Nothobranchius furzeri: one gene and its partners. Each later gene encodes a partner of the first gene's protein in a complex. Links are inferred from orthologs where the notes say so. Each region holds a gene or a part of one and is shown in the gene's direction. Other genes may lie near its edges. The genes, in order: pole3, pole4, chrac1, pole2 and baz1a.

Region 1 (4,649 bases):
AGAAAAACCAGGTTACAGGCAGACAGCTCACCACGGACCATGACAGAAGGGTTATCCCGATTAACATATGCTGCTCCCTCTTTACATTTGGGTAAGGAAATTGGTAAAGATATTGACCGTATGCTCTTTAATTTATATGGAAAAACCGTACGCATTATATTAGGAAAACTGTTGTGATGAATAAGTACGAATCAGGAGGGCTTAACGTCCTAGACTTTTCTACTTTAAATAACACTTTCAAAATTAACTGGGCTAAACATTTTCTTAAAAACCATACCTCTATCTGGAACCTTATACCATATCATATTTTCTCTTGTTTTGGTGGCTTTAATTTTATTTTAAATTGTAATTACAATGTTGAGAAACTCCCTATAAAACTTTCACCCTTCCATAAGCAAGTCCTCTTAGCGTGGACCCTCATTTATAAACACAACTTCTCACCTCACAAATATCTTATCTGGAACAACAGAGATATTTTATTTAAAAATAAATCACTTTTCCTGGAAACTTGGGTCCAGAATGGGATCCTATTGGTGGCTCAGCTGGTTAATAAAGAGGGACAACTACTTACTTACATCGACTTTATTGCCCTATATAATTTCCCAATCAGTGTTCAGGAATTGTCAATGGTGCTTGGTGCCATACCCTCAGGGGCTTTAATGTTATATAAAAACACTGACAGCTCAATATCTACCTCAGTCACTCTCCCTAATCCAGTTGAGTCACCAATAGGAAAAATCTGCTTTTCTCTAGAACTTGGTAACAGCAATAAGAGAATACGTAGTTTATTACAGAAAGATATCGTCTCTCTCCCGTATATAATATCTTATTGGAACCGATATGTTCCAGATATCAAGTGGAAGACAGTCTGGATGATCCCCCAGAAATATTTTATTGTAAATAAGGTGAAAGAAGTCTCATTTAAACTTCTACATAAATGTTATCCAGCCAGTCATTACATGGTAAAATTTAAAAGGGTCATAAACACTAATTGTACTTTCTGTGGGGATCATCCAGAAACTGTGACACATCTTTTTTGGTGCTGTTCTTTTACACAAAGATTCTGGAAGGAATTTAGCAGGTTTGTTACTGTCCATATTTTAAGGGAGTTTTCTTTACGATGGGAAGATGTTTTGTTCTGTTTCTTTAAGTTCCCCATGAAGAATGATAAATGTTTTTTTTATGATAAATCTGTTAATACTTTTAGCTAAATTCTTTATTCATAAATGTAAGTTTACTAACAAAACACCAAATTTCTGTCATTTTTAAGCATGTGGAATTGTACATAAAATCAATATCAGAATCCACCAACAAAAAAAGCTCTCAAAACAATATATATGTGAATTTTTGCGTGTATTCTTATAATTGTTACTTTTTTCTTTTACCTCTGGCTTTGTGTGTTCATGTTCTGTTGTTTTGTATACTTCATTCGTTTCTATGTTGTATACTCATTGTTTGTTAAATAAAGTAAAAAAATAAATAAACGCTGACGTTTCCTCCTCCAAGGTCTAGCTCATCGACATATATACGTCTAGCTGCAGACTGTTATTGAAAATGTTGGCTGGTACTTTTAGTTTTCAAGACAGGAAGTACGTCATTCGCATCAAGGTCAAAGTTCATCGTTGACGCAGGCGGACTTGTGGTGGTTGAAAGCTTCGCGGGAAACGTCCCGAAACAAACGACGGTTTGAGCAGCGGCGCGCGAGCTTTTCACGTTAGAACGAGGGATTCGAGTCACGTTAACTACGCGCGCTGACATCTACCGGAGACTCGACCGGGGGGAAACGGAGTGGTTCGGGAGAAATGGCGGAAAGGCCCGAAGACCTAAATCTTCCCAACGCGGTGATCACCCGCATCATCAAGGAGGCGGTGAGTGAAACCCGCCGGGTCCGGGTTCCACCGGTTACCGTCTGATTCCACCCACTGTCCGGATTAAACAGACCACAGATCAGCTGTGTGTTCATTCAGTCCCAGTTTACAGTTGTTGTGGGTGTTGGTGACGTCACATGAAACCAGAGACGTTCACGGTTTGGCTCTTAGAGCTTTGGTTCATCAGATCTCCTCTGGTTGAGGGTACTGTTTCTAATAACAGCCCACGGAGATGGAGATAATTGCCTTCAGGCTACTGGCCCTTCAAACATGACAGATCTGTAAGAAGGATGAGAAATTAAAGGTAACCAGGGTTAACCAGTCCCTCCTGGATTTCACCAGCTTCAAGAAAAGTCTACAAAATACAATTTTACTTGCCCTTGTCATGTTCTAGAAAACAAAACCATTTTATAGTCAGTGACCAAAAAAAAAAAAAGCAATAAAAATCAGATTTGGGGTTTTAGATTCTGATCTAATAATTGCTGCATTTTGATTTAAAAGGAAAAAAAAATCTGCTCAAATTCAAAATGAGTCTGAATCAAAAATAACATTCAGATTCCGTTTGTTTGAAATGAGAAAATTATCAGTACTTCATATTTATTCCGGAGTTAAGACCTTTTAATTATAAGTCATCTCTAAATAAATCTGATAAAGTTCAGTGTTTTGATGATGAATCTGAACGATTTTGGTCATTTTTAAACGTTTTGACACGTTCATGTGTGAATTAGCTTTTTGTGAGTGAAAAAGAGCAGTTGCGAGCTGGCTCTGACTCCAGAGTGAAGCTCTGAGATAACTCCTCCGCACCGTTTGTTTCTCACAGCTCCCAGATGGGGTGAACGTGTCCAAAGAAGCTCGCAGAGCCATCTCTCAGGCAGCCAGCGTGTTTGTGTTGTATGCAACCTCCTGGTGAGGAAAAAAAGCCAATAAAACTGCATTTTTGTTCACAAGATCAAGCTTTTAACACATTTGTGACCCAGCAGAAAGACCTGGATGGTTCCCGTCAACGCTCCTCAAGCCAGTTTCCTTTTTCCTTGCAGTGCGAACAACTTTGCCATGAAGGCTAAAAGGAAAACTCTGAACGCGGGAGACGTTCTGGCTGCCATGGAGGAGATGGAGTTCGAGCGGTTCATGGAGCCTCTCAGGGAAGCTCTGGAAGGTGAGAACATCATTAAGAATAGTCTGTCAGAAGACATCAGCAGGCAGCAGATCCAGTTTGAGGCTGGCTCTGTCGGAATGCCGAATCATGATGGGGTTCCAAGGCCAGTTCCTTGGATTTCCCACTCTGGACGGACCGTAAACGCAGCATTCTTGTAAATGTGGTTTTCTTATCAGATTTTTTTTTTTTTTTTTGTGTCGATAGGAACTTTTTCACCCCTGAGTAAACACAGAAAAGCCATCAGGTTCAAGTTCCTGCTGAAGCTTCCAGGTGTTCCAGCAGCCGGACCAGCTAACAATGTCTTTGTTCTCCACAGTCTATAAGAAGGACCAGAAGGGAAAGAAGGAGGTTTCTGAGCAGAAACGCAAAGATAAAGAAAAAAAGGTTGATTCTGAGAATGACAAGAGCAGAGAGGATGACGAGGCTGATGAAGAGGAGCAGCAGCAATGCATGGAGGAGGAGCCTGAAGAGGAGGTGGAGAACTGAGGACTCCACCCACATCTTTGGGTAGCTGATGTTAGACCGGACACACACCCGTCCAAACTCGCAGGAAACAGTCGGCCCGTTTCTTTATGGGCCTAACGTTTGAGACTTTTGATCCTGCACCAGGTCACCATCCATTCTGACTCGTAGGTTCCCCTCAAACTTCTGTGGTTGATTTTGGACCTCTGATATCAGAGTGAAGACTTTCACTGGGTTCTGTTTTAGAATGAAATCCCAGTTTTTTTCTTTACCATTTGTACTGTTGTAGTCATTTATTACAAAAGTCCTTCAATAAAAGTTTGTAATGAAACCTTCAGATTTGTCTCAGATCAGACAGGAAGTCTTCCTGTTGCAGGTTACCTCCACAGCAGGGGCCTGAGGAAGAAGGTTCCTCTACAACACAGTTCAGGAACCCTCCAAGGATCAGTGACCTTGGACCCTTCAGCACACAGAAGTCATCTAACCACATGACCAGGAGTTACCTTAAGCACCATGTCCAAACCATCGACATAAATATACAAAAAAAAAATAAAACGATAAAATTAACAGCAGGTCCACCTCAATGGTCCAAACAGCCTGATATTGGCCCAACCCCAATACTCACACTGCCACACTAGCTCAATACTGACCCAGGTGTGTGAGGCGTCAATTCTCAATGGGAAAGCCGATCACGCCCGCTTTGCACCCTTGATCCGCACTTCACCCAAGCCTGCAGTGACGCAGACTTGGGTGGAAGGTATTACACACAATCCATCGCCGCAGGAACATCTGAAATGCTCATTTTCCAACAAAAGTTCATTTTAGGACATTAGTTAATGCTCCAACATTTTAAGACAAAGCAATTTAAATGTTTTTCAAATAATATCCTGTTAAAGGTTTAAAAAAAAAATTGTGCAAGTGACCAGCATCCTGACATGCGCTACGATCGATGATGTCTCAATTTGGCCATCATTTGCACACCAGTATACTAGAGCCTTACAGCGCACTTGCAGGACTGCAGTGTGAGGACTGGTCCATTATCGGGATTCAGATCAATGACCTATAGTTCCAGTTTTAGTTCCTTCTTAAACCTAGACAGTTCTGATTCGGTTCTTAAATTATGTAACACCTACAGCAGTGGTTCTCAGTACTGGGGGGCCAGT
Region 2 (4,094 bases), on another chromosome or scaffold:
TCACTCTAAGTAATGAAAAATGTTGTTAGACCTGTTCATAAGTCATCAGTCTTACAAATATTTTAAAACACCAATACATAAAGAATAAAAGCATTTTACTTTCTTAAAGGTGAGTTAAATGATAATTATATATAGTTAAATCAAATATAACATAAATGAAAGGGTTTTACCTGGGAGCTGTGGGTCCTTCATGTCTGTTCCCGGAGGCTTTGACGCCGGACTGTGTCCTTACGTGTGAAGAGATCCTCAGAGGGCTAAAGCACTCCTCCCAATCCTATTAATACTGTGTATTAGTGGCCTGATCATCATGTCCTCTGGCACAAACTGACCTCATAAAAATGCTGAAAACATACTTTTGAAGACTAAAGCACCTATGTACCTAAGCATATAGCACATAATGTTGGTTATTTGTTGGTGATTATATTAAAACAGCTGTTCTTAGAATAAACTTCATCTGCATACGAGTTTTAAACAAACGGTGAATATGATGTTCGTTAATTAGGTAATACTGTATAACTTCAGGAAAATCTTAATTTTTGTGATTGTTTGTCCTAAGAAATATATTTTTACAGATAGTTAGACCTATATGGAAACTATTGCCCTACAGATGTCAAGGAAGTAAAAGGTCAAAATGGCATTTATAAAAATATATATATATATATTTGGACTATCAGAGGGGTGTTGTGTGTAGTCAGTATTTAAACAGAGTTTAAGGCAGCTAATTTAGGAAATGTAGTCAGTTTCCCCCCCAGCAATCTAAATCCAGCAGCATGACTAAAGTGATGAGTTACTCAAATTTACCCTAACTGTAACATGTTTTATCTGAGAGTATAAGGATGGATCCTGGTCCAGAATAACACCAAGGATCCTGTCACTAGTACTGGAGGCCAAGTGAATGTCTTCAAGCTGTGATCTTAAAACTCTCAGGTCCAAAAAATACAGCCAATGTCTTCTCTGAACATGGAAATAGAAAAGTAAGAGTCTTTCAGGTCTTTAAGACATGTTTGTAATCTGATTACCTGGTTGGATTTTGTCCATCTCTTGACAATGATCAGCTAAGAATGATGGAGGTGGTGATGATGATGGTGTAAGCAGAGATTTAACAAAGAGACACTATTTCACTTACACATACTTTTTTCCAGAAACGTAAAATTGCTATTGTGATATAAGGCTCTTATCTGCCAACATTGTACTTTAAAAAGTAAACTGCAGGGAATTGATTTCAGTAGTTTGGTGTCTTCAGCGCCTTTTACCGCCCTCCAGTGGACCACTTGTGAGCTGACCCCAACTTATTTTTACTGTTTTTAATTTCTCATAATGTAGAAAAATAAAAATCACAACATTAAAACCTCTAATGCGTGAATTAAAACTAGAAATATCGCCACACAGCGTCACCAAATTGTACATTCACTCCAGAATCTTGCTGCTACATATTTTGACTGACGTCAATTCTAACCAATGACAAGGCATCCTTTAACAATTGTCCAATCACAGACGAGTATTTGTTGGCGGGGTCTGAGCTTTTGACCAATAAACACCATTCGCTCCACGATGTACCGGAAGCACATGCTGGCTCGAGGCGGTTGATGTTGTTGTCTGGGACGTGTAAAATGAGAGATATTCGAGTGTTTTTATAACAGCAAAACACGATTGTGAGGCCATAGGAAATGTCATCAGCAACGCCCGTTCCCTCGGCGGAGCTCGAAGCTGAGCGGTGCGGGAGTGAGGAGGAGAACCGTGCTGTGGAGGCAGAGGACCGGGGTCAGCAGCTGACAGGCCCGGCCGTCGTGCCCCATAACCGTCTGTCCAAACTCCCGCTGGCCCGCATCAAAGCTCTGATGAAGACGGATCCAGACGTGTCCTTGGCTAGCCAGGAGTCTGTGTTCATCATCGCTAAAGCTACGGTAAAACGGTTTACTCAGTAAGAAGGTCAATGTTTTCATGTCACGTCCCCCACGTTTTATCTAGAATAAACCTTTTAGTCCACAAAATAGTTAATATAAACCAATTGCCATTGTTTAATGCAAAACACACGTGTTAGTTTCAGGTAAAATACACCAAACCTACAAGTTTGACCTAATTTTCCCTTTTTTCCAGGAGTTGTTTGTTGAGATGATTGCCAAAGATGCTATGGTGTATGCTCAGCAAGGAAAGAGGAAAACTTTACAAAGAAAAGACTTGGGTAAGAGCTGAAACATTTCAAAGTGACTTCAGAAATTGATTCCTTTTATTTTGATACATTTTTTAAAGTCATTTTTAAGAGTATTTCGAAATTAAGAATACTTCTAGCAACATAATTTTATAGAAACAAATATTGCTACATCAAGAGGAGCCAGTTAAGGTGGCTCGGGCATCTGGTTAGGATGCCTCCCTGGACACCTCCCTGGTGAGGTTTTCTAGGCATGTTCAACTGGGAGGAGACCTAAAGGAAGGCCCAGGACACGCTGGATGTTTTTGGGCTGGCCAGGGAACGCCTTGGGATTACCCTGGAGGAGCTAGCCCAAGTGGCTGGGTAGAGGGAAGTCTGGGCCTCTGTTTAGGCTGCTGCCCCAGCGACCCGACCCCGGATAAGCGGACGAAGTTGGATGCTACGTATTTGTGTATCTCCATGAAAAGTGGAAGTGCTAGAGAATATAATGACTTTAAAAGTCATGTTGTTCAAAACAAAATGGTGATTATATATAAAGAAGGAAGCTTTAGTTAGGTTGATAGAAATCACTAAGTGCCTCCTGATTTTTATTTCGAGAGGCACTATATAAAAGCTTGTTTCTTCTTCATTACTCAGTAGCTAAAAAGCAGTATTTATGTTAATAATAATGTTATAATTTCATCTGGTGGAGAAAACACTTTAAACAGGCATGAAGTGATTCAGTTTTAACAATATTAATAATAATAATAAATGAAAATATTAATTGCACACTCTTCTACTTTTCCTCCACAGACAATGCAATAGAGGCCATAGATGAGTTTGCATTTCTTGAAGGTAAATCATAAAAAAAGACATGAAACAATCCTGCAAAGTTTTGCAAATTATTCCATGTCATCTTTTGACTCTGGTATTTTAACTTCACCCACATGCAGATGTGTTTGTGTGTCTTATCATGTTGACCTCTTTCCTCTACAGGAACACTGGATTAAAGATTTTTTATAAGACCACATTAAAAAGATCCTCAACTGTCTAAAATGTGTTTCATTGTTGAATCACAGAACATTTTTTCTAAGTCAACCTCACAGATTGATTAAATGTTTTTATATGACAAGCTCTAACTTTGAATTTGTCTGATATTGTGTAAATGGTTTTGTAAATATGTGAGTAATGTTACTGGAAAATGGAATAAACTTTTGTTTTAACAACACATTTTCATCTTGTGTGGAAACTGCAGAAATATACAATTCCCAGTAATGGAGTTTTTAACAGAATTGTACAATTATAACATAATTAATTGAAGGTTGACTTTTTTGTTTTAAAAACACTTTTCTTTTATTGGTTGGATAAAATATGCAAATTTTTTTAGATAGGGATTTTGGGTTTTCATGAGCCGTATGCCAAAATCATCAATATTAGAAACAATGAAAGGCTTGAACTACTTCAGTTGTGTGTAATGAATCTAATATATATGAAAGTCTGTTAATCTGTACATTACAGAAAATAATGAACTTCATCACAATATGCTTATTTTTTAGAAGGACCTGTATCTGCTGTATTTGGGATCATTGTCCCATTTCAGGACCCAGTTTTTCCAGGTGTGGCAAAACAATTTAGATTTCAAATGTCACAACAAACTTGGCAGAGATGACAAAGCTGCTAATAACAACTACTCTTATTAGCTTATCTTAATTTACACAAGTTTATCATATAAATGGATGTAGTTTTGGGGGGTGGGGGGACACGACCCCACCCCATTTTTTTCCAAACAAAATTTTGGTACCCTGCAATTTTTACCGTCCAAAAACAATGTTACACCATATTAAATAGACACTGGTTGAGCACTAGGACCAAGCGGAAAACAACTGCTTCTGTTGAAGCCTGTTTCCCATTAGAACCATCCATAAGCTCATCTATTGGCTGTGCTGGTACTTGCTAACGTGTGATT
Region 3 (4,783 bases), on another chromosome or scaffold:
TGGTTGATATGGAGGAGGGTCCCGAAGCTCCCCCGCCGCCGCCGCTACTGCTGCTCTTCCCTGTGCAGTTGTTGCACAGTATTTCACCCTGGGTGCCTTTCTTCCACATTGAGGAAGAGTTCGTCTTACAGACAAAGCAGCACGGCTTCAAACCCAGAGGCATTTTACCGGCTAGAGAACGATGCCTCCGTACGTAAAAACGATCACAACAGAAACGCAGCTGCTTGGCTTATTACCAGATCACGACCGGATGTAGCTTTAGCATATTTCGCCAACGATTATCAAACAAAAATAACCGTAAAGACATCAAAAAGCCTTAAAACACAACGAAGTTAAAGCAGCATTATTTATGTACTGACTTGTTTCTACTTTCAGCGCGGAGGTTCTTCTTCAGCGTTTCCTTTGTTCTGAGGTCGGAAAACTATTGAAGTCAAGCGCCGCCTACTGGTGTGGAGGACTGCGTCGGGCGCTGGGCTGGGGCAGCTAAATGTGAGTCAGTATTTCCTTATTATCGTTGTTAAAATAGATATGAGTGCATGAACAACAACTTTGTGTTTTTTCAGGATTAAAATAATAAACTATTGATCACTAGTATCACTCATTCACATGTTTAAAAAGTTTGGATTGATATAGGAATTAACTTATTGAGTGCTGAAGCAGCGGCCTTCTTCTTCTTATCATTATTATTACAATGGGAGATAACCGTTTATTTGATTATTATCTGTTTAACAAAGTTGTTACTTTCCATGCCTTTGATTGTATCTTTTTCACTCTTTATTTTTACAGGTTTTTGCTGATTGAAAGACTGGCTTTCCCCACTAACAGACAAATAAAACGTCTTCTACTTTAAATTATTTAAATTATTAATATTTTTATTGTTAGTAGTAGCTAGTAGAAGTAGTAGAAGTAGTAGTAGTAGTAGTAGTAGTAGTAGTAGTAGTAGTAGTAGTAGTAGTAGTAGTAGGAGGAGGAGGAGGAGGAGGAGGAGGAGGAGGCAGAGTAGTAGTGGTGGTTGTTCCTGTTTTTTAATGTATTTCATATTTTTTACAGATTTCCTTAAAAGTTTTTAGAAAATTGGTATAATCCTTTGAGGAACTAAAATAATGTTAATTACTTTTGTTTACTTTTATAAACAATTCTGCAGTTTATTTTACTGTATTCTAACAAACACATTTTTACACTAGGACCTGTGATTCATGGAGAATAGAAACAAATGCAAACAAAATAAAAAGAGTTCCATTTCCTTTGCCTCACTATGGCAAAAATAATGATAGAGTTTATTCGAGATTATTCATTTGTATATTTAAGTATATTATATTAAATTATATTATATTAAATATAATAGTTTTAAACAAGCTGAAAGTTGTTTCTCTCAAGCATGGTTCTGTTTTGACCGTTTCCCAAGAGCTGGTTGGAATGATTGTCAGGTACTTTTTTAAAATACAAATATAGTATCAGGGTAAAATTTAATTACTATTTATTAAATTTAATCTAAATATACAGTGTTGTTTGAAATAACATCTTTTGTGCTGGGTTATACTCCTGCTTTCCAGCGGGAGGCGCTGTTTCAACGTAAAGACCACCAAAGAAATTGAAGACGGCGAAGAAGAAAGGCGTCACTCTTCAAAACAAAACTTAAAGTTCAGTCATTCTTGTCCTTTGTCCAAACAGAAATGTCTCGAAACAACCCAAACAAAGACAGCCAGACGCCGGACGCCAAAAAGTCCATCTCTCTCCCGGTGTCCCGGGTCAGACTGATCATGAAGAGCTCTCCGGATGTCTCCAGCATCAACCAAGACGCGCTGTTCCTCACCACCAAGGCTACTGTAAGCTGCCCTTGATGCTAATGTGGTTGTGTTTCTATTAGCGGGGGGTTAGCATAACTAGCTGGTGGTTGAACTAAAATCGTGTGAAGTTAAAATCGCTAAATATAGTTTTTAATCTGTTGTAAAGGAGCTGTTTGTGCAGCATCTGGCCCTGTCCTCCTTCAACAACGGCTCCGGGAAGGACAGCAACACCCTGGAATACAGCGACCTAGCTAAAACCACCGAGGAGAACGAGACCTTCCACTTCCTCACAGGCGAGTCTGGAGCTGAGCATCAGCGCGTCCTGAAGCCAGATTATTAGATACACTGGCCTTTATTGTATTTTAATGTTTTATTTATAAATAAGTGTTTTAATAAAGTCCCAGACACGAGGAAAATAGCAAAACGCCATTGGAAGCTAGCTTTTGGACCATTTAGGAAGATTTATTTTAGCTTTCCTGTATTTTACTGCCAAAAATGAAAGATTGGAATGAAACAGAATCAAACCAATAAAAAAAAACTTACAGATGAGAGAGAGAGCGATATGAATTTTCCACAAGAACTGTAAGCCGCTTACATTTATTTTAGCAACATGTAATTTTTGTGCCATTTGAACTTTATTTCTCAGAGAAAAGACCGATAATAAATAAAATTTATACTGAAAAACAGGTTTTTTTAATCTGACAGATATTTTGCCGAAGAAGATCTTGGCTCGAGATTACCTCAAGACTTTGGAGCAGATGCAAGAAGAAGAAGAAGAAGCTGATCTTTGACATGAAAGCCACTTTCCCTGGTGTGTGTGTGTGTGTGTGTGTGTGTGTGTGTGTGTGTGTGTGTGTGTGTGTGTGTGTGTGTGTGTGTGTGTGTGTGTGTCAGAGGAGACACTTATGGACTTTAGAGCTTTTTAAACACACGGTCTTGGAGAAGGTGGAGCTTAAATTGCCTCAGAGCTCAGCTCTGAGGAATTTAGACCAAATAATGGCAGTAAGCAAATAAGATATTTAACACTGGTTTAAAAGGCAGCACAGACCAATCAGTTCAGTTTAACATTTTAATTTTGGCTGAACACAGTCGGGGCTGTCTTTTAGGTGCTTCCACTTGCACCAGAAGTGAACCGTTACCTCCTAACAGACGTGACAAGCAGCTGGAACACAGACGTGACAGAAAACACGAGTGGATGAAAAACTTCATCCACCTGTAGAGAGGCGACGTGTTTAGATGAGAGACTGCGAAGCAGCGTTTGTGCCTCTCCAGATGTGAAATGCCACCTCAGCTTCACGTCATTTTCTTTGTTAAAATGTCTCAGAGGGAATCGTCGTTGTGAATTTACTCGTGTGTTTAGATTTGATATAAAATAAAGATGAATGCTAAAATAAATGCCTCTCGTGTCAAGATCCGATGTTTTATACTTTTATGATGTTTCACAAGCATGTTGCAGGGGATTGTGGTTGATATTTAGTTAGCTGCTGCATGAATGGAACATGAATCGTCAGCGTCGGGTCAGCTTCGCGAGTCGAAGCTGAAAATGAAACAGATTCTTCTCTAAAGTAGAAAAGTGACTCTCCAGGCTGTTCGCCGTGCGCGCTCTCCTGTCGAGACCGTCCCTCGTGTTGGCGAGATGATCGTTCAGCCTAAAGAGGACGAAACGAGTAAATATGGATAAGTTTGTTTTTAATCAAACAAACACATTCAGTTAACGACCTCTGATGTCCAGATGATGACTCAGCTTGTTTTCTACTTTTAGATCCATCATGTAATAATCCAGATTTCACGTGCCTCGTTAAGGATTCATAGCTAACCTCCACAGCTGACTCTGGATCAGTTTGTTCATGTAAAACAATCTGAACAGCTCATTTGCAAGAAATAGCAGATTTGTCTTTTTCAGCAGCCTGCTTAATCTCTTAATCTCACTCTTAAATTCTCAGTCTCACTATTTTAATCTCAATCTCACTATTTTAATCTCTCAGTATCACTCTTTCTTTCTTTCTCTCTCAATATCTCTCTTAATCTCTCAATCTCACTTTTAATCCCTCAGTTTCTCTGTGTCTCAGTATCCCAATCTCCCTCATAATCTCTCAATCTTTCTTAATCCTTCTCTCTCAATCTCTCTGTTATTCAGTTTCTCTCCCCCCCCCCTCAATATCACTCTTAATCTCTCAATCTCACTTTTAATCCCTCAGTTTCCCTTTGTCTCAGTATCCCAATCTCCCTCATAATCTCTCAATCTCTCTTAATCCTTCTTTCTCAATCTCTCTGTTATTCAGTTTCTCCCCCCCCCTCAATATCACTCTTAATCTCTCAATCTCACTTTTAATCCCTCAGTTTCCCTTTGTCTCAGTATCCCAATCTCCCTCATAATCTCTCAATCTTTCTTAATCCTTCTCTCTCAATCTCTCTGTTATTCAGTTTCTCCCCCCCCCTCAATATCTCTCTTAATCTCTCAATCTCACTTTTAATCCCTCAGTTTCCCTTTGTCTCAGTATCCCAATCTCCCTCATAATCTCTCAATCTTTCTTAATCCTTCTCTCTCAATCTCTCTGTTATTCAGTTTCCCCCCCCCCCCTCAATATCTCTCTTAATCTCTCAATCTCACTTTTAATCCCTCAGTTTCTCTGTGTCTCAGTATCCCAATCTCCCTCATAATCTCTCAATCTTTCTTAATCCTTCTCTCTCAATCTCTCTGTTATTCAGTTTCTCTCCCCCCCCTCAATATCACTCTTAATCTCTCAATCTCACTTTTAATCCCTCAGTTTCTCTTTGTCTCAGTATCCCAATCTCCCTCATAATCTCTCAATCTCTCTTAATCCTTCTTTCTCAATCTCTCTGTTATTCAGTTCCCCCCCCCCCCCTCAATATCACTCTTAATCTCTCAATCTCACTTTTAATCCCTCAGTTTCTCTGTGTCTCAGTATCCCAATCTCCCTCATAATCTCTCAATCTCTCTTAATCCTTCTCTCTCAATCTCTGTTATTCAATTT
Region 4 (3,082 bases), on another chromosome or scaffold:
GCTTTTCTGTATTCTGTAACCAAAACTCTCTGTTAATGGGTAAAAACTATTTATTCCAGGGCATACTACGGTGACATCAACTTCTTTGGCGGTCCATCCGCCACCTCGGTCAAAGCGTCCTCCAAGCTTAAACAGCTGGAAGAGGAGAACGAGGATGCTATGTTTGTGATCGTCTCCGACGTCTGCCTGGACAGCATCGAAGTGATGGAAAAGCTCAACACCATGTTCTCAGGTGCGGCGCTACAGGCCCCTGCAGGTGGAGGAGTGAGAAAACTCAGTCTCTTGTTTTGAATGTGTTTGTTTTTTGACAGGATATGCCGCCATGCCTCCCACTTGTTTCATTCTGTGTGGGAACTTCTCCTCCGCTCCTTTTGGGAAAACGCAGATTAAAGCGCTCAAAGGTGAGGCCGTTGGGTCAGAAACCGTTCACCTACACCTCCTAAAGACGGACTCAGAGTCATTTTATTGAGCTTTAAAGTCAACACACACAGCTTTTTGACACTGTCGGCAAATATCTTCCCGCTTTCGCTTAACAGGTTAATCATGCAGCTGAACTGGAGCACTAAGTGTGGACAGCTCAAAGAAAATAAATCTGAAATCAGCCCAATCCTAGTGCATAAAAACAACATTGTCTTTTCTCAGATTCACTGAAGACCCTTGCTGATGTTATAAGTGCATATCCCAGCATTCACAGCAGGTAGGATTGGCCCACTTTTCTTATTTTTTATTTTTTATCTTCAGTGTGTTTGAACTAAAGTGTTCCTTCTAAACCTGCAGTAGTCGCTTTGTGTTTGTTCCCGGTCCCAAAGACCCGGGTCCAGGCACAATCCTACCGCGGTACGTTCTCAAACACGTCTCATTTGTTAAAATTTCCTTCGTTCTTTGGATTAATCTGAATTTTTCCCACAGGCCTCCCTTGGCAGACCACATCACAGAAGAGTTCAGACAGAGAGTCCCCTTTTCTGTGTTCACGACCAATCCCTGCAGGTAAAACGAACACGTAACTGTTTCAAATGGGAAAAGTAAATTAAAAAAAAACTGCACCTATTTAAAGAGCAAGTCACCCACAAATCTACTTTTTTTTTTTTTTTTGCTGATAAACCATATAAACGAGTGTCTAATCGTGCCGTAGACACGTGTAATCGATAATTTGGGACTTTAGTGCATCTTAGTTAAATTTTAAATTTTCTGCCTGTCGTCTTTAGGTTAATAACTCTGCACTGAACTGCGTTTAAATTTAAATCTGCCATCGCTATTGGCTAAGACTATGACATTAGCTGGTACATTATGATGTCACAATGTCATTGTGAGCCTGAGTATGTGTGTGTTTGTTGGTTGCTCCGCCCTCTTGGTCTGCCAAGCAACCTCATATGTTGCATTTTTCAAACATGAAGTGGGAGTGGAGTGAGACTGGTAGGGGGTGACTTGCTCTTTAAGGGTTTTCGTTGCTAAATTGTTTTTTTTAAACTGACCTGTTTAGAGTTCAGTACTGCAGCCAAGAGATCGTCATCATCAGAGAAGATCTGGTCAACAAGATGTGCAGGAATTGTGTCCGTTTGCCAAACAAAAATCTCGACATCCCAAACCACGTGAGGCTCATTTTCTCCCCCAAAGCGTGTTCATGCATTATCCCAAAAAGATCAGATGCTTCTGAGAAGATGGGAGTTAAAAATAGAAATCCAAAACTTTTTAATTTAATTGTTTTCTTCTGTTTAGTTCGTAAAGACCATCCTATCCCAGGGCCATTTATCCCCACTGCCTCTGTACGTCAGTCCCGTGTTCTGGGCCTACGACTTCTCCCTGCGGGTCTATCCGGTGCCTGATGCCATAATTTTTGCAGACAAGTACGACCCCTTCAGCATCACCAGCGCTGACTGCCTCTGTTTCAACCCGGTACAAGAAGCAGGAAACTCAAATAACATGATTTTTGTTAATGTGTTTACTTTTAGTCACTAAGGTATTTTATTTGTTTCTGTTTATATTTTTTGTCCTCAGGGTTCTTTTTCAAAAAGTGGCTTCACGTTTAAAGTGTACTATCCATCTAGCCGGACCGTGGAGGACAGGTGGGATGAAATCTGACATATCGTTGCATATTTAATACTGGTCCTAACCAATATTCGTGTTCATAAGTTAAAGTTGTATTTTTTTCTTTTCACAGCAAACTTCAAGACCTTTAGAGAAAATGATGGGCTTTGTTTTTACCTTGTGTGATATTTGTGTTGTATCTTAGTAAATCAAACATGTTTGTAACAGTTTTTATTTAAAATAAAGGTTTTATTCTTTGCTGAGTTTTCCTGTACTTTAATGTTTATAGAGAGCTCTCTGAGGAAGCTCATTTAATGAAAATAAACAATTGTTTTTGAAATTTACATAAAAAATATTTATATAAGAAATTTTCTTCATATTTTTTCATTAAATGTTTGCAAAATAGGTAAATAATTTAACTATTTTAAAAAGCTTCGTGCAAATAATCAACTAGTGAATTTTTATGTTTAATGATGAACTTGTATATTATTCCTAATGCAATGTTAAAGACTCTTTGTTTTTCCATTGAAGGTAATTTCTGGTATCACTATTTCTCAAATCGACACACTGAATTTTCATTTCTATATATCTATTTAACTAATATGGTCATAGACATGAATTGTAATTTAGTGTTTTAAATGTTTACTCTGAAGTTATATACCAAAAATACCCTCAGTAGAAAGTATGGATTACCACTCTTTGATTAAGATGACCCAGATGTTTTATATAGTGGAGGTAAAAAAAAAATATAATAACATTAGTAAATCAAATCATCTTATTTTCAATGCTGATTTCCATTCATCTTTAGGGTGTTTTCTGTAAAATATAACTATTGAGCATCCTCAAAGACATTTTTTTTTTAAATATGAGGTAAGGAGTGACAAAAATTTTGGAATAAACAGTTGATGTAAATAAAGGTAAAAGTTTTAAAGAGATTACATTTTCCCAGTGTAACCAGGTTAGTTCAGCGCTACCAATATTTACAGAGTAATCTTCCTTTCATTGATCAAAATTATTTAAAAAACTGCTGTGATTCAGCTGAACAGCTTTTTAATAC
Region 5 (4,032 bases), on another chromosome or scaffold:
GCCTGCAGACTTGCGAGAGGCTCTGGACGACTACTCGGATCCTACCCAGTCAGCTCTGAGCGCTGTGGCCTCACTGGCTGCTGCCTGGCCTCAGCTGCATCAGGGTTCCAGTCTGAAGCAACTGGACCTGGACAGCTGCACACTCTCAGAAATTCTGCGCCTGCACATCCTGGGTTCTGGTGCTTATTGTAACCATGGCAACGCCAAGTTTCGCTACCAGAAGCAGGGAGCCTTTACACTGATGGACGATCCCTGTGTAAACCTGCAGTTTTCTGAGCCTGCTCTCCTGAAGAAGCTGTCATGCACACCGGTGTATGACCTCAGCCCAGGTTAGACTGTTGGGGTGTGTGCTGCTATCAAGGTTTTTCAGACTGAAGTTTAAAAACTATCATGATGATTTTTGTGTACAGAAGAAAAGCTGAAGATCCTCCTGGCGTTGCTGGGAAAACTGTTAACATTAGCTCCTAGCAGAGATCTGATTGAAGACTCACTGGAGGAACAGAAAGCAGCAAGACAGGAGCTGAGGGAGGTCAGAGCAGAACAACATCGCAGAGACCGGGAGGAGGCCGCACACAGGTACACGGCACGTACAGACCGCCCGATCAGCCCATCAAAACCATGCCAGGACAACCAGTGTTTCCAGTTAGAACCAGAGGGGTGTTTCAGTAAACCAGTGTGTTAACACCTGCTGCTTTTCGGGCCGGGTCAGAACCACCTGAGACTTATTCTTTTCTTGAATGAAGACATTTTATTGGACCCCCCACGCACTCCACTTCACTTGATCAAACTTAAAGTCAAGTAAAAAATAAAAAAACAAGCACAAAACAAGTTCCAAGGCAACGCTGAAACAAAGCCCAAAATTAAATCCACGAATAGAAAATACAGTTAAAGAAAAAATTATAAAAAGTTCATCAGAGACATCATTCAAATATGACTTAAATGATGACCAAACCACATTGAATCAGGTGTGTGTGAGACATTGCCTCCCTGATCCACTGACCATAAGCTGGTGGAAGTGTGTCCTTCCACTTATACCGTACCGACAATATACCGTATTGACCTGATTATAGGATTACCTCGATTATAAAACGAGCCCCTTTTCCAAGACTCATTTCAGAAAAAAACAAAAAAAAAATCCCTTTTTAAATAAACTGTTTTTATTGAAAATTTGAGAACAAATACTGAGCAAAAATACTATTTTATTGCAAACTATCAGAACTTTGCTCACAAATCAAAGGTCAAATGAGGCTTTTATTCAGACGCCCTCTGCCTCGCTGTGCTTAAATCTCGCGCTGCTGTGGTCCTGGTGTACCATCAGATCACTACACCTGCTGACTCCTCCCAGAATGCCATCCTCACTGCCATCCATGCATGCAATGTTTAACGCCTCTGCTGAATTGACTGCAGTCATCTTAAAATTTGCATAAATCTGCCTTATAGCTTGTTAACTTGCCCCACTTTCAGTCCACTCTGCTATGGATCCCGTCTCCACTTTTTTCTTCTGCGAACATGCAGTCTGGCGCCCTCTGCTGTTATGGGAGTGTAATGGTTAGACCCCGATTATAAGACGACCCCACATTTTAAAATTATTGTCAATGAAAAAAACCTCGTCTTATATTCAGGTCAATACAGTAATTATTTTAGCCAGCACGTAGCAGAAGGCTATCATGTCCACTCCTGGGCTTCCGTAGTTCAGAGCAAGGTCAGCCACGCATTTTTCATAAAACGCACATTATTCTGGGCTTCCTTGGCTGAAGGGGTTTCAATCTCTTAATTTGGTTTGTTGTTGACTAAAGACACTTCTTTCAACCCGACCAAAGACGAATTAACATTAGCTGATCAAACATTGCGACAAACCGACAATATCCAGACGACATTACCAGCAGGTGTGCTCTCATGTCAATTTTAGGATTCGTCTTCGGAAGGAGGAGAAGTTGAGGGAGCAGGAGCAGCGGATGAGGGACAAATTAAAGGAGCAGGAGGAAAAGGAGATCCACATAAATGGGTAGGAAGAGCGTTTTGGCTAAGAGGAGGAGGAAGAGCTCTTCTTCACTTTGCATTTAGACGACTTCTAAATGTCCTAAAAAAACAGATAAAATCCTTGTGTTGGGATGAAATTAACTGTGTTGTCTCTGTAGTGGAACACCTGCAGAACGTCCTTCTGAGAAAACTGAAGAAAACTCATCATTTAGAAAGACAATGGAAGGTAAAACTGTACAGAGCCCAGCATGTTCCCACCTACTCCCGTTTATTCTCCCAATTCCATTCGCTCCCGCAGTCCATCTCTGCATGGTCCCATCCCCACCTCCACCTGTAGACTCAGTAATTAATTAAGGAAATGATGGATTTTTTGATCATATATCAGATTTTTATACCATCCTACCGATAATCTTGGTACCCGCAGCAGCCTTTCAACTGCCCTCTGTCTTGAGGAAGGATCCTAAGCTCAAAACAGGCCTCTGTCTAGCTGCAGCCTCTGTTCAACCAGACGTTTGTAGCAAAATGTTTTTTAGGGATGGGCCAATACCAATTTGTCCAAAACTAGTACAATTCCTTAGAGCTGAGTACTCATCGATGCAGGATAGTAGGTAATGTACCGTACTTTGAGGCTGGCTTAAGCTCAAGCAGAATGTTTAAAAGTTCGACTGTTTTCTGCCTGACGGCAACAGTCACACTCTTCTGTGCCAAAAGCCTGCATTAACCACCAACTTGAGGGCGTGTGAGACACAGAAGGTTTCTCATGTTTTCTGCATTTTAACAGCACAACGTGGGTGGAACTTTAAGGGATTCCTCACGTCTGAAGTGTTCATTTAACTCACCTGCAGTTGGATATTGTCCAACACCTGAAACCATTTAGCGTGCAGAAGGAGTCTTTGCAGAGTAAAATCATTGTCGACCCACCTTGCACTTGAGCAAGCACAGATGCTGTTCCTCCACATGTGTTGTGAAGCTGAAGGCTGAAAAGTCTTCCATCAGTCTGTGGATGTGCCGCTTAACAAGGTCACGTGGTATGGGCAGCATCGTGTTCGTGGTGTGGTGGCACCCTCTACCATGATACACCGTGGTGTCCAAACCCAACTCAGCTGTAGCTAAACACTGTGAAGATTAAAGATTTAAATGGTTAAAAAGTTATCCGATTGTTGGGTGTTATTCTGTCCTGTTTAACTTTCTAGTTTTACATCAAGTCCAGGTCAGAATAACTGAATCAAACATTAAATTATTTTTACTAACCGGATTTTTTTTCTGTTGTATGTAACTGTGACTTGGGTCATGAATGGTAAGTGGCCTGTATTTGTATTTGGGTCACTGTGAGTCGAAGTCTGTTTGAAACCAGTATTGGTTCATCCCTAATTTCAAGCTAAGAAAATTCATAAAGATGTTTATTTTTTAAATGTGTGCTTCTTTTGTTTCTCCTTTTTGGGTTGAAGGTAATCAGAAAGAAAAATGTATGAATTCTGACATCAAAAACCTGTCGGGCCCTCCTCCCAGCCTGGGTCCAGAGGAGCTGGAGAAGGAGCAGGAGAAGGTCAGATGCAACTCCATTACAAATCTCTAAGCATATCTCACTTGTTACAAAAAGCAAAGATCTGCAGTAAGTTGGTGTAGTATTATGTTCACGGCTGAAATTACCTGAAGGATGTAATTTTCTTCCTGCTGGCGATCAGCAGCTGCGCCTGGTGGCGTGACATATATGATGACATTTCAGCAACATGACAGGAGTCTGTCATTATTAGATTTTTAGTTCTCTTCCTGATGCTGGCAGGTTCGAGAGTTGCAGGAGCGCATTCAGAAAGCAGCAGCCTGTACCAGCCTGCTGCCTTTGGGTCGAGACCGAATGTACCGGAGATACTGGATCCTGCCATCTGCCTCTGCACTGTTTGTGGAAGAGGACTTTTTCGGCCTGACAGAGGACATGCTGAAACCGTGTCTAAAACTCTCTAAGGATGCTGTCATTATCATTGATGATGATGAGGAGGAGGAGGAGGAAGGATTTAAGAATGAACCTTCTGGTGAAAGGTGGGTCACACACAG

What was found.
Region 2: pole3 (region 1) and pole4 share a complex: the UniProt entries of both Homo sapiens proteins name them as parts of the DNA polymerase epsilon complex. The link is inferred for Nothobranchius furzeri from reciprocal best matches to the Homo sapiens genes POLE3 and POLE4.
Region 3: pole3 (region 1) and chrac1 share a complex: the UniProt entries of both Homo sapiens proteins name them as parts of the CHRAC ISWI chromatin remodeling complex. The link is inferred for Nothobranchius furzeri from reciprocal best matches to the Homo sapiens genes POLE3 and CHRAC1.
Region 4: pole3 (region 1) and pole2 share a complex: the UniProt entries of both Homo sapiens proteins name them as parts of the DNA polymerase epsilon complex. The link is inferred for Nothobranchius furzeri from reciprocal best matches to the Homo sapiens genes POLE3 and POLE2.
Region 5: pole3 (region 1) and baz1a share a complex: the UniProt entries of both Homo sapiens proteins name them as parts of the CHRAC ISWI chromatin remodeling complex. The link is inferred for Nothobranchius furzeri from reciprocal best matches to the Homo sapiens genes POLE3 and BAZ1A.

The regions. Positions count from the first base shown.
Region 1 is NC_091749.1:66,564,323-66,568,971, reverse strand, and holds pole3 (DNA polymerase epsilon subunit 3), read left to right. Parts: upstream 1-1,614; 5' UTR 1,615-1,802; coding exon 1,803-1,868; intron 1,869-2,688; coding exon 2,689-2,774; intron 2,775-2,905; coding exon 2,906-3,024; intron 3,025-3,340; coding exon 3,341-3,510; 3' UTR 3,511-3,823; downstream 3,824-4,649. UniProt on the Homo sapiens protein: Accessory component of the DNA polymerase epsilon complex. Participates in DNA repair and in chromosomal DNA replication.
Region 2 is NC_091748.1:55,969,854-55,973,947, reverse strand, and holds pole4 (DNA polymerase epsilon subunit 4), read left to right. Parts: upstream 1-1,545; 5' UTR 1,546-1,667; coding exon 1,668-1,904; intron 1,905-2,097; coding exon 2,098-2,182; intron 2,183-2,941; coding exon 2,942-2,983; intron 2,984-3,124; coding exon 3,125-3,138; 3' UTR 3,139-3,356; downstream 3,357-4,094. Other genes in the region: serine/threonine-protein kinase NIM1, read right to left, coding at 171-192. UniProt on the Homo sapiens protein: Accessory component of the DNA polymerase epsilon complex. Participates in DNA repair and in chromosomal DNA replication.
Region 3 is NC_091759.1:18,090,269-18,095,051, forward strand, and holds the start of chrac1 (chromatin accessibility complex protein 1), read left to right. Parts: upstream 1-1,567; 5' UTR 1,568-1,673; coding exon 1,674-1,826; intron 1,827-1,953; coding exon 1,954-2,080; intron 2,081-2,492; coding exon 2,493-2,578; 3' UTR 2,579-2,598; exon of another isoform or gene 2,599-2,717; intron 2,718-2,893; exon of another isoform or gene 2,894-2,984; intron 2,985-3,202; exon of another isoform or gene 3,203-3,294; coding exon of another isoform or gene 3,295-3,436; intron 3,437-4,783. Other genes in the region: gatad1 (GATA zinc finger domain-containing protein 1), read right to left, coding at 1-163; uncharacterized protein si:ch211-57n23.1, read right to left, coding at 3,295-3,436. UniProt on the Homo sapiens protein: Forms a complex with DNA polymerase epsilon subunit POLE3 and binds naked DNA, which is then incorporated into chromatin, aided by the nucleosome remodeling activity of ISWI/SNF2H and ACF1.
Region 4 is NC_091758.1:27,026,461-27,029,542, forward strand, and holds the end of pole2 (DNA polymerase epsilon subunit 2), read left to right. Parts: intron 1-59; coding exon 60-232; intron 233-311; coding exon 312-401; intron 402-642; coding exon 643-697; intron 698-777; coding exon 778-837; intron 838-909; coding exon 910-987; intron 988-1,480; coding exon 1,481-1,589; intron 1,590-1,716; coding exon 1,717-1,893; intron 1,894-1,995; coding exon 1,996-2,063; intron 2,064-2,158; coding exon 2,159-2,177; 3' UTR 2,178-2,288; downstream 2,289-3,082. UniProt on the Homo sapiens protein: Accessory component of the DNA polymerase epsilon complex. Participates in DNA repair and in chromosomal DNA replication.
Region 5 is NC_091758.1:18,191,045-18,195,076, forward strand, and holds part of baz1a (bromodomain adjacent to zinc finger domain protein 1A), read left to right. Parts: intron 1-8; coding exon 9-329; intron 330-410; coding exon 411-576; intron 577-1,909; coding exon 1,910-2,005; intron 2,006-2,138; coding exon 2,139-2,206; intron 2,207-3,428; coding exon 3,429-3,526; intron 3,527-3,763; coding exon 3,764-4,017; intron 4,018-4,032. UniProt on the Homo sapiens protein: Regulatory subunit of the ATP-dependent ACF-1 and ACF-5 ISWI chromatin remodeling complexes, which form ordered nucleosome arrays on chromatin and slide edge- and center-positioned histone octamers away from their original location on the DNA template to facilitate access to DNA during DNA-templated processes such as DNA replication, transcription, and repair.